Macaca mulatta: one gene and its partners. The protein of the gene in region 1 binds, or shares a complex with, the protein of each later gene. Links are inferred from orthologs where the notes say so. Each region holds a gene or a part of one and is shown on either strand. Other genes may lie near its edges.

The links. The genes of interacting proteins can lie anywhere in the genome.
Region 2: the proteins of NRP1 (region 1) and PLXNA4 are in contact, whole or in part, in a cryo-EM structure (PDB 7M0R), measured with the Mus musculus proteins. The link is inferred for Macaca mulatta from reciprocal best matches to the Homo sapiens genes NRP1 and PLXNA4. Residues at the interface, in NP_032763.2 of Mus musculus: Arg80, Tyr84, Asp126, Tyr127, Glu128; in NP_786926.2 of Mus musculus: Glu272, Lys340, Lys343, Lys345, Leu349.
Region 3: the proteins of NRP1 (region 1) and PLXNA2 are in contact, whole or in part, in a crystal structure (PDB 4GZA), measured with the Mus musculus proteins. The link is inferred for Macaca mulatta from reciprocal best matches to the Homo sapiens genes NRP1 and PLXNA2. Residues at the interface, in NP_032763.2 of Mus musculus: Glu78, Arg80, Asp81, Lys83, Tyr84, Asp126, Tyr127, Glu128, Thr129; in NP_032908.2 of Mus musculus: Asp273, Leu274, Phe275, Glu306, Lys341, Gly342, Gln343, Lys344, Gln345, His348, Pro350.

What each region holds. Positions count from the first base shown.
Region 1 is NC_133414.1:34,571,052-34,574,551, forward strand, and holds part of NRP1 (neuropilin-1), read right to left. Parts: intron 1,580-3,500; coding exon 1,308-1,579; intron 815-1,307; coding exon 718-814; intron 1-717. UniProt on the Homo sapiens protein: Cell-surface receptor involved in the development of the cardiovascular system, in angiogenesis, in the formation of certain neuronal circuits and in organogenesis outside the nervous system. Mediates the chemorepulsant activity of semaphorins.
Region 2 is NC_133408.1:172,283,205-172,287,226, forward strand, and holds the start of PLXNA4 (plexin-A4), read right to left. Parts: upstream 2,801-4,022; 5' UTR 2,752-2,800; intron 1-2,751. UniProt on the Homo sapiens protein: Coreceptor for SEMA3A. Necessary for signaling by class 3 semaphorins and subsequent remodeling of the cytoskeleton. Plays a role in axon guidance in the developing nervous system. Class 3 semaphorins bind to a complex composed of a neuropilin and a plexin.
Region 3 is NC_133406.1:65,981,083-65,985,303, reverse strand, and holds the start of PLXNA2 (plexin-A2), read left to right. Parts: upstream 1-1,421; 5' UTR 1,422-2,075; intron 2,076-4,221. UniProt on the Homo sapiens protein: Coreceptor for SEMA3A and SEMA6A. Necessary for signaling by SEMA6A and class 3 semaphorins and subsequent remodeling of the cytoskeleton. Plays a role in axon guidance, invasive growth and cell migration.

The DNA of each region.
Region 1 (3,500 bases):
GATGTATAACAAAAGTTTCAATGTAGCAAATGGAGCTTAAGACTAATTACCATGCTATTACACTGCCATTAGTAATGCTATTTGTAATTATATATCAAGAACTAGGGAATATGAATTGGTTTTCTATGTCTTACATCCACCTAGTACAAGAACCATAAAGACCAACTCTGAAATACTAGGCCAAGTTTCTGAATTTCATTTAAGTCTTTTAAGCCATTTCAGCTATTTTAAAAGTCAGAAACATCTACTTATTTGTAATAAAGCAAAGAATTATGGCTTCTATGGTTCATTAACAATGTATTCTTAATTAAACTCGTCCTGATCAAAGTTTTCAGAGGCTTGCTGTTTTGTTTATACACTCAGATATTTGGAATTATCCAATGTCTGACTTTCCGCTGCTCATCAAAATGTTTCCGTATGGCATATACAGCTTGTAAGCTGGGTCTTCTTAGCTATACTCTTTGGATTCTGCATTATTTGTGGAGTTTTGTAGGTATCAAGCAGACATTATGAAGGACCTAGGGTAGGTAATGGGACAGCCACAGGTAAATTGGGCTGATTTTATGCCCTGTTGCACCAGAATATGCATTTCCTATGATGTGTCGAGAGGCCACACGGAAATTCCAAGTAGAAATGGGCAAAACAAAGACCACCACTTTGGCAAGAGTCTTGCCCTGGGCAAGTACTCCATTGGTTTCTACAGCAGCTCATACTTACTTGCACAATCTTCTTGTGAAATGTGGTTATTGATACTAATGTCATCCACAGCAATCCCACCAAGGTTTCCTTTTCCGATTTCGCCCTCGAAAATCACCTAACAAAATAAGATCATTTTCACAGTATTGAAATGCTCATCTCACGTGGCAGAGTTTACAAATGCTTGTTCAGCTCCCGCTATGACACATAAATTAAATTCATCAGATTCAGTGTAAGCACACACTTCACTCATCAATCCACATTAGCTGCCTGGTGATGGCATGCACCTTCTCCTCACACTCTCTTTTTATAATACAAACTTTAAAATGGGAGAAAGCAGCAAACAAAAGGAATAATACATTGTGAAAGCCCAGAAATAGATGACATGGAAGTCCTTTGTGTTCTTTCTCAGCAAATTGGTTCTGTTCCTACAATATAGGAGACTGTGAAATCTGCTATGAAGGTGGTTATCATTGCAGCAATATCTCAGGGTTGGGAAACACTGGAAATAATTTCAGAATAATTCCCGCATCTCATTTGCACAACCTCCAACATATCGTCTCAGTATTCCTGCAGCCACTGCCCTTTCCAGCCTTGGGAAGAGGTCATACCTGATAAAGTTTCAGAGACTTGTGAAGCAAGACACGCCCTTCCTTCCAGTGGTCACCTTGGTGTCCAATGGCCATCCAGACCAGCTGATCGTACTCCTCTGGCTTCTGGTAGCGCAGTTTGACCCTGAGTGTGCCGACGTGGGACCCAGACATGTGATACCAGAAGGTCATGCAGTGGGCAGAGTTCTGGGAATAAACCACAGGGCTCACCAGGCGAGCCACTTTGCCCTTCTGATTTTCATCAGCTTGGGAATAGATGAAGTTGCCATCTCCTGCTATGACAAAGAACTGTGTTAGGGAGAGTGGCCAGGATTACCACACTTTTATCTCTCTTATTTCAAGTCTCACTAATCAAAAGCTTCCTGCGCTGAGTGCCAAGAACTAAAATATGTAGTGGAAAGGGAGAAGTGTGCATACTTGGGGACCTCATGGGCACCTGAGGCCCTGCTCTCAGCTCCTGCAAAATGGACATTTGATTAGGGGAAGGCTGAGTGGCACTAATTAGGATACTACTTATAATGGAATACATTTTCATATGGACACAGGCTATGGCTCAAGCTGGCATTTGTACCATCACAAGCAAACTGAAAGCAAAGTCTGTGCATAGCCTGGACTGAAAACGCCTGGCTCTCTAAGAAGAAACCTTATTTATTTATTTATTTGTTATGTTTAGACACTCCTGTTGCCCAGGTTGGGATGCAGTGGTGCGATCATAGCTCATTGCAGCCTCAAACTCCTTGGTTCAAGTGATCATCCTGCCTCAACATTCTGAGTAGCTATGACTATGGGCCCGTGTCACCATGCTCAGCTAGTTCTTAAAAAGATTAATTTTTTCTTTAAGAAGAGATAGAGTCTTTGTTGCCTGTGTTGCCCAGGCTAGTCTCAAACTCCTGGTCTCAAGCAATCCTCCCACACTGGCCTCCCAAAATGCTGGGATTACAGGCATGATTCACCACGCTGGGCCTAAGAAACCCTGTTTTCATGCAACTTTAAGATCGCACAGCAGCATCCATGTGAACACATGCATTAAATGAAATCATTGAGATGTATTTTTATTTATCATTTGAGCAGCAGGAATTCTGATTAAAGAAACTTCTGTCAATATGACTCCTTGATAATCATAAACCTGTAGTTCTTCCTAATAATGTAGTAGTCTTTTAAAAAAAACTTTTTCAAGTTCAGATTATTTTTCCCATAGTTTGTTTTCACGGTTTTTGAATTCCTTAAACACACCTGAGAGCTTGCATCTCTCCTGTGAGCCCTGCTCCTATTTGAGGTGGGCTTCTGGCCCAAGGAGAGGAAGGTTGCCTTGTTGAGGTTCATTAGAACGTGCCATTTTGGCAACATAGACACTTGCTGAACTGCGAGGACTTTCTCTTGGCTTCACTTTTAATGACCCCCACTGGGAACATTTCCTCCTGCCACCACCTGGTCTAAACACACAACCCATGTTTCACTGTTGGCTTTGCAAATAGAAATCATCTTCTCTAACGCCTCACCTGATTAAGTGTGAATCTGCTGCTCGGGCCTCAATGGGCAGCAGGAGGTTGTGTTTGTTGCCCAAGAGGCTTGTGTGTTTGCAAGGTGCTTTCTCACTGTGCACACGTGGGCACATACTCCTCTCTGCTCGCCTGTGTCAACAGTGTCCAGGTGGATGTGGATGTGTTCACGGGCAGTTTCCTTTCCTTACCTGGCTGCTTATGTGAGAGCCCACCCTTCTTCAAACCAGTGGGTGGAATCATAAGGGAAGGGTGTTCACAAGTGGCAACTCTAGCCCCTCTAGTAGGTTTGATACTGCAGGACGAATGTCCCTCTCGCTCTCCGACCTTGCAGGGTGTCCTCTGTGACTGAGCTGATCCATTCACACTTAGGATTTGTTTGCCCACTAATTTATCAAGATGTGATCACCTTGATGGTGATCCATCAAGATCCATCAAGATCCATCAATCCACCAAGATGGGAAAAAAATACACCCATTGTGCCTCCGTCCCCCCAGTCTTATGGAAAAAAGACTGAAATTGGCAATGCTGCTGCCATGTCTTAATCCCACTTATTGAGCTCACTGCTCGAAGTTTATTGAGGCCAGTCAGAGAATGGGTGTTAGAAAGAAGGAGAGAAGTGGACGTAGGTAGAGGGATGCTCTCCCATTGGACATCCTCACTCAACTGCACCATGATCACTTCCTACCCACAA
Region 2 (4,022 bases), on another chromosome or scaffold:
CTTGGAGTCCTCCAGAAATGTCTGCAGTGTCCCGGTGGGCATCCAGGGTGAAGTCCTGGGAGGACAGAGGAGAGCCCCGGGAGGGTGTGATTGGGCAAGAAGGAGCAGCTTGCAGGTGACCTACGCCTAGTGCTCACAGGAGAGCTGCCTTAAGCACCATCTACCAGGCAGTGAGGGTCTGCTGAAAAGAAGCATTCATGGCTGGAGTTTTTCTAGTGTGAATCCCTTCCCAGTGAGAAAGACCTCAGAGAACTTAAAAGGAAGGGCACAGAAGAGTGGCAGAGAGGGTGAATGACAGCATGGCATGCTCCAGGGCTGGGCAAGAGAGCCAGGAAAACGTGATATATACTCCGCTTTACAGAGATGTTAATTAATGCTTGCCTTGTCCTAGAAACCAAATTGGTACCTAATGCTAAGTGCGGAAAGTGCGGAGATTGTTTGAACCCAGATGTTTAGCTTATAACCAGCATAATGACTGCTGGCTTTGCATTAAAATGATGGATCCTGAGGCTGCAAATACATGAGAAAGGAAAGAGGGTAGAGAGGAAAGCAGAGAAAGGAGTGGAGGTCTGCAGGGAAGATGCAGACATTTCAGGAAGATCCTGTACCCTATCCCTTTGCCTCTTCCAGGTCTCGTGAGGGACTGTTTACCTGGGAGGCACCCACTGTTGCTGGAGCTCATTATTTCTATTGCAAACCATGTGCTGCTGTACAAGTAGGTGGGACCTACCTGTCCACGCCCTCGAGGGGCATGTGGGGAGAAATGTTCCATTTCTTCCACAGCCCGGAAGACAGAGGTGGACCCCATTGTCACACATGGCTAGGGGAGCTGACCACATTTAGCCAGACTCTGAGAACGCATGTGGGTATATATCTTGGGTGTGTATGTGTGTGCACACGCCCACCATGCTTAAAAAGCAAATAAGGTTTCTTCCCCCTACTGGGGTCTCCCCATTGTGAGAGATTTGCTTTATTCCATCTACGCTTTTCAGTCAATCAAAGGGCAGCTCACACAGCATACAGCGGGAATACAATCTCCCTCCCGGGGCGTCTGCGCTTCTCCCCAGCCTAGCCAGAGACCTTTGCAGGAGCTGAAAAAAGTTTGGAAATAGCGGAGTCAGGGTGCTGAAAAAGCCGTTTCATTCAACCCCCATCTTCAGGATTTACAAAAACAACCCAAATTCTGAGCCTAGCACTGAGGCCTCCTTGTTCAAAAGAATGTTTGCTCCTCTCCCATCATGTTCTGGAAGACTCGTAACGTATTTTTCCCACTGGTGGGTTTGTGGGATACTCTGAACACATGATCTTGGACAGAGGGTACAAGCTTACTCGGTTCTGGGGGAGAATGATATGATCAGGTTGCCCAGAAAGGTACCTCAAAGGGACAGCTCCAGAAACGCAGGAGCTTGTACATGTATATTCAATTCCAAATTTGTTTTGGAGCTCATGTTCTTCTCCCTATGACAACTGAGACCCTAAATGAGTTGCTCTTAGACCCTAAGAAGGGAACTATGGAAAAGCCTCTTAGAACCCCAGACACTTCCTACCTCCTCCAGAAAAAGTTAAAATGAGCAGCCTGTGAAACTCCAGCCAGAGAGAACAAGAACGAAAATGCTTTCGGGAAATAGGACCTTAAAGAACGGGCTTCTGTGGAGTGGTTCTACACTCGGAGCAGCCCTGGGCTCTGGGGGACGCTGGCAGACCCATGAATGCTTTGCCTCCTCCAGTGGGCACCGCCGCCCGCCGCGGTCGTGAGGGAGGGAAGCCTCCTCTTTTGGAGAACTACACCCCTCGTGCTTCCCCCTTCTAGTTATCTTTCTCAGACACACACCTCGAAAGGCATGTGACAGGTGTTCGCCAGCCGGAGGCACCGGGGAAGGCAGCCCCATGTGCCAAGGAAGGGTAGGGAGGTGAGAGGGGACCCAAGTCCTGTGTCTCCAAGCCCTGTCTCCTTGCTGCTAAGCAGGGACTGAGGCTGTGAATAAGGTCATACCTTTTAAGGAGGATATGACCCCCGTACCTTCCCTAGACAAGCAACATACGCGGCGATGCTTTAAGCCGCTTTCTGTCTGAAATCTCGGCGCATTCCCGGGGAAGCAGTGCCACGCTTCAGAAAGGCGTTTGTGCTGCCTCTTACTGGGGAAACGCAGTGTCTGTTCCATATGCACCGCCCTACAGAACTGCAGCCCCAACCGCCTATGTGGCCTCCTCTCCACGCGTTGGGCCATCACTCTCTCCAAATAGGCGGCCGAATATCTGTGGTTCTGTCTCCCGTTGAAATCCCAGGGTGTCCAAAGGCCACGGGGCCGCGATGACACTGGGTGGGTCTCCGGAGACCTCCCAGGACTTCTCCCGTTTTAAAGCCCAGCTAGGGATGAAAGGGGCTGAGAGCTAAAAAATCGCTCCCTCAACCTTTTCGGGTGGGAGGCAGAGCCGGGAATACACAGAATCCCACCCCGAAAGTCCGGGAAAGAGAAGTCTGAGTCCGGGAGAGTGAGAGGAGAACGCACCCGGGAAATCCCTGCTCCGGCCGCTGCACCTCCGCGGGCGTCCAGGTGGGACGTGGGCAGGTGCGCGAGCGCCGTGTGTGCCGGTGTGGATCTGTGTGTGTGCCTGCGTGTGTGTGTGTGCGTGTGCCGCGGGCTGGCTCCAGGGCACCGAGGATTCCCGGGCCGACCCGGCCCGGGTCTCTCCGACCGCGCTGCCCTCACCGCCCGCCCGGCCCCGCTCCCCGGCTGGCCGGCTCCTTACCTGGACGCGCCGCGTTTCCCTCCTTCAGCGGGAGCGCCGCATTGACACTGCAGATGGAGCCTATGCCGCTGCCTCTCGCCCTCCTCTGAACGTGTGCGTGTGCGCGCGTGTGGCTGCCTCCTCCAGCCCCAGCCCCGAACGCAAATACTCCACCGAGGCACAGGGAAGCCGGGAGCAACCGAGGAACGCGGAGGGCGCCGAATCAGAGCCTGCGGGGCTTGACAGCTCCTCTTGCGGCGTCCAAGGTGGGCGTAATGTCCAACAAGAAGGTCGGAAAATGGGGATCGATTCCGAACACCCCTTTTCTCCACCCAACCCCCGAGTCTAAGCAGCGGCGGCGGCTCTCGGGGGCTGCGGTGGCGACGCGGGGCTGCCCCCCTTCGTCCCCACCCCCGCGGGCTGAATGTCCTTGATGCCAAGCGGGCACAGCGGCGTCACTCCGCGCCGCCCATGCTCGCCCGGTCGGGCCGCTGCCCGGGCGCGGCGAGTGCGCGGGGGACCCGCCGGGGAGCGCTCTCGGCGCCTCTGCGCGCCTCTCTGGGTAGCGGCGGCCGCCCCCCGGCAGCCCGCGGCCGGCCGCGCCGCTGCAGCCCCCACCCTTGCCGGGGAATTCGCCGGGCAGTGCCCTGGGGCCGGGGCTGGGGGGCCTCGGGAGCCGCCGGCTGCTCCCCGGGGAGGCGCGGGGCTGCGGCGGTGGTGGTGGCGGCGGCTGGCGCTGCGGCAGAGGAGAGCTCGGCCGCGGGCCGAGCCGGGCCTCCCGGGCGCGCCCCCGGCCCCCCGGGCGGGCTGCTAGCAAAGTTTGCAGGGGGCAGGGAGCGGGGCCGCCGCTGGCTCGGCCGCCGCCGGAGCTCCCGGGCTGCCTGCTGCCGCCGCGGCTCGCTGCTGCTGTGCATTGAAGCCCGGCCAAGCGCTGCAAAAACTCCAGCTGCCTGGCGCTCTCTGGGTCCTCCTCTCCTCCCTCCCGCCCTCCCTGCTTCCCTTCCTCCCTCCCTCGCCTCGCCTCCTCTCCTCCCCGCCGCCCGCCGCCCGCCGCCCGCCGCCGCTCCCTCTCTGGCTCGCTCTCGCTGGCTCGGAGCTCGCGGCTGACATCTAGACCGAGGGAGAGCTGCTGGCAGAGGGGGCAGGGGGCGCCTCCCTACACTCTCCCACCCGCCGCCGCCTGGCTCGCCGGCTCTCGCCCTACCAATGTTTGCCGACACCCCCCTGGGTCCCCTCGGCCCGCACGGAGCCACCCTGGCAGTGGCGATGTGGGGCGGAGAGGGGGGCATACA
Region 3 (4,221 bases), on another chromosome or scaffold:
CAAATTTCAGCTAATTACAATGAAGGACTTTTGAAGAATTAGCTGATTTCTGCAGATACTGGAGGAAAGCCTGGATCCCCCAGTCCTGTATTGAATGAACGATTGTTCGAGATGACTGGTTAGTCTAGATTTCCTTTCCTTCTTCCTCTCTTTCTCTCTCTCTCTTTTTTCTGGCTCCCTTTCTTCATCCCTCCCTCCCTGCCTTTCTTCTGCCCCTACTGCTCTAAGAATTTCGTGCAATTGCTTTTAGGTTTTCTGTAGTGATTTATATTGTTTTTTCGATTTATACCACTGAGGACTGTGGCCACGAGAGGGCAGTAGAGGAAGCTTAACAGAGTACTTGGACAGGAGTAAACTCGTGTGAGCTCTAATCGCCAGCAGGGACTACGCAGACCCTGCGAACTCGCTGGGGTCCAGCTTGCAGGCCCCTTCCGAAAAGCAGTGTTTAGAAGCTGCAGAGTTACTGAGACTGTGTAGCAAGGCATCAGTGGCCTTGAGGGCACCGAGGCATTGTCGTCCAGAATCCTGAAACCTCTCACCTTAGGTTATTAAAATAAGTTATCTTATCGCCACCCCTCTGATTCCCCTGGCAAAAAGATTCTCTGAATTGGATATAGAAAGCTCTTCTCCGGTCCCCAATGCCCTCATCCAAGTCGGGACTTCTCAGATGCCCAGGATCCCTATCAGGGCTGGAAGCCTGAGATTCAATTCAGAGCAAGGTTCATCTTCTCGTTGCAATAATAATAACAACTTCAAGCCTTATTTGACAGCTTGCTGGCTTTTTTTTTTTTTTTTTTTTTAATTTACAAGAAGAGGAAATTTGCTCCCACAAATTCCAAGACTCTAGTCTCAACCCCATCAGACAAGCCCCGTTCCTCCCCGCTCACCCCTCACTCAAAGATCAAGAGGGAGGTGTGCAGGATGTGCGCGGTGACAGGTGATGCGAATGGCGGGGGAGTCCCTGTCCCTACTGCCCTCACCCACTCTTCCTGTGTCCTGAGCTCCCCGCTAACCCCAACGCTCGACCTTCTATCTCCACCGGGGGCTAAACCAGCTGGGTTCGCAAGGCCCTACTCGAATTCCCGGGCCCTGGTAGCATTTTCCTTGCCCCCTTGGCTACTTAAGGTGGCCAATGGGTCCGGGCTGAGCTGGGCGCAGGACAGGCAGCGGAGCGGCCTCCGGATGCCAAACCTGCTTCTCCTTTGTTGACAGCTTGCGGAGGAGGAAGTCCGCGCGGGCGGGGGAGGGGGCACGGGGCTGGCTGTGGCGGGCGGTGCCAGCAGCGGGCGCGGCCCCAGCTCGGGCGGCCGCGGCCGGCGGGGAGGGGGTTAACGCGCGCGGCCTCTATGATAATGAGCTGCATGGTAAAATAGGGAGGCCGGCGCTCAGGGCTCCGCCGCCGCCGCCGCCGCCGCCACCGCGGGAGCCAGAGCTGCCGGGCTGAGAGGCATCCGCGCCAGACTGGAGCGGGAGGGCAGCGGAGCGCAGTTGCTGAGAATTTTTCAGCCGAGAGGGCGAGCGATCCGGAGAGAGACCCCGCGAGCTTGGGAACGGTAGGCAGCGCGAGGGCCGCAGCCGGCGGAGCAAACCTCGAAATAGATCTGGAAAGCCAGGCTCCCGGAGGAAATGGGACTGTGAACGAACCGGAGAGCAAGAAGGGAAGGAAGCGCCGGGATTGCTGATGTCAGAGGAGCCCGGAAAGTCGCGCTGGAAAAATCTGAAGACAGCCGGGGCTCTGCTTCTTCCCCACGAGAGACACCGCCGGCCACCCCCACACGCCCCCTCGGCGCCTCCAGGTGCCCCCAGCGAGCCGGCGACAGCGCCCAGCCGGGCTGCTGCGGGGCGACGGAGGACTGAGGGGCGCGCGGAGCGGAGACCGCGGGGCGACTTCAGGAATACAGATAAGTGGCTGGTGGCTTGACGTGGATTTTAATGAATTTGGACTCCATGTGGATTTGGTCTTCTCCCTGATTCGGAGCTGCGGGCAGGGAGAGGGGCCTCGCGCCGCCCTCAGCAGCCGGCGGCCGAGGCAGACCGAGCAGGGACGGAAGGACAGACCGACGTCGCCGAGCTGGGTAAGCGGCGGCTGGGCCGGACGCTCGGAGTCGGCAGCGCCTTCAGCCTTCTCCCCACAGGCGCGCACACCCGTGGCGGCTTCTCCCGCACCCGCCTCTTTGGGGCCCCGGCCCCAGGCAACCGGGCTTGGCCGCGGCGGGCGAGTCCCCGTGTGGGCTCGGCCACTTTCGCGGGCCGGAGCGCGGCGTGCGCGCGATCTCAGGCTCACTGGAGCCGGTGCCTCCCGCCCAGGGCTTCCCGGCCGGCAGCCAGCAGGCTTCCCGGCCGCGGGCTGAAGGCGGCAGCAGCGCTCCGCGGCGCGCCTCCACCGCGCACCTGCCGGCGCTCTGCGGCTTTGGGGAGCTCGGGGCGGCAAGGCTGTCCCGAGAGCTGGAGCCCAAAGAGGGCCTCGGTGGCACCAGCGAGACAACCCAAAGCCACAGTGGCCAGCGATCGATTTGGGGGCGTTCACTCCAGTGCCAGAGTCCCTGGTGGCCGCCGGCTGTCCCTTCAGATCCGGGACTGGAGATCAGGGGAAGGGGAAAACATCATTTGCGCGGGTTCCATAAGGCTCAGGGAGAGATTCCCAGGCACTGAATGGGTCTGAGTGTTTCATCTCCCAGGACTCCCTTTGCAGTGTATCGCCCAGCAGGGGTCCAGCCCCATAGTTTGAGGACCACGCGAGTGCTGGGGGTTGAAATGGGAGTTTGCTTAGGGTCCCAGAGGCTCCTTATGAACCATTTGAGAATATTTCCTTCCATGTGCTCTTTCTTGCCCCACCCCACAAGTTAGGTAGGGATCCTGGAAAATTCTAGCCCTTTTTATCCATCCCACAGGTAGTCTCTATAATACCAATCATGGTCTAGATGCCCAGAGAGTCACCAGAAACTACCATTCTAGGTCCCCGAAAAAGTGTCCACCTGTTTGGAATGACCCTTGCCCTAGTGGGACCTACCTAATCAAACTCAGCTCTGCTCAGGAGGGATAGAAATAATGGGGGAGAGGAAGTTGGATAAGAGATTTGAGGTTCTAGGTCAGCAAGGGTCTAGAAATGAGAGCCCCAGGAGGTGGGCAATGGAAATATGAACAGGATTCCTGTAGGAATCTAAGATGTTAGAGTGACAGTGGCACATCATAGAAGGTACACAAGGGACATGAAGGCAGGATCAGTTTGAGGGGATTGGGACTGCCAATCACAGCTTGAGGCAGTCACTTGGGGGCCCATTGGCTTGGAGGAACCCACAGAAATTTGGGGTCACATTCATTTCCTTCCATTCACGTGCCCAGTGGACAAGGCTTATGAGCGGCAGGCCAAGATGAATATCTTGGCTGGCCTGGGCTGGACACTTTGAGAGCACGAGTCAGGTTTAGCTCTCCCCTCTCCCCACACAATAGCAGTCTCCCTCCTTTGCTGGGCTTCTTTCCTAGACATTGAAACCTCACTGTTCCCTCTGGGTTGACTTTGGATTCTGGGGCCTTCTACTGAGTGACAGAGCCCCAGGAAGAGATAACCTTGGCTGGAGGAATTCAGCTATTCCTAACTGAAATGCACAACTTTTATGCAATGACCCCAGAAAGCTCCCAGAGTTTCTTGCAGCCCTCTCCCCTCTGACCTCCAGGCAAGAAAAGAGAAGAATTCATTAATTTCCCTCTCTCTTCACAGAGAACCATTTGAACTAATTACCTGGGATCTCTCCTCGGTGGTGTCCTGGGGGCTGAAGGGGCAGTGAGGAGAAAGGGTAGGGAACCAAGGAAACAGAGTGGAATCTGTGGAAATACCCTAGCGAGGTTGTTTTTCATTCCCCTTCTTCCACCCAGCATCACCACCAACCCCTCCTCATCCCGGAACTTGCCCCTGCTGCCACCAGCCAGCATTACCTAAAGGAGTTATTTCCCTCCACTCTGCAGCTGATCCTCTTCAGGGACCCGCTGATAAAGGGAGGGCAATGCAGACTGCCCTCTCTGCTCCCTCACTGTCCTCAGCAAATTGCATTAGGATGGGGGCAAATTGGCTTGCAAAGCAGTTAAATGGAAATGACATTTGGAGTGATGTGCAGGGAAGATGCTGAAGAGCAGCAGTGGTAAAGTACCAGGAGATCTCCTCTACCCAGGGACCATGAGTCTGCCAAGGAAATCCCAGCTGGTCCTTCTTTTTGACAGGGCATA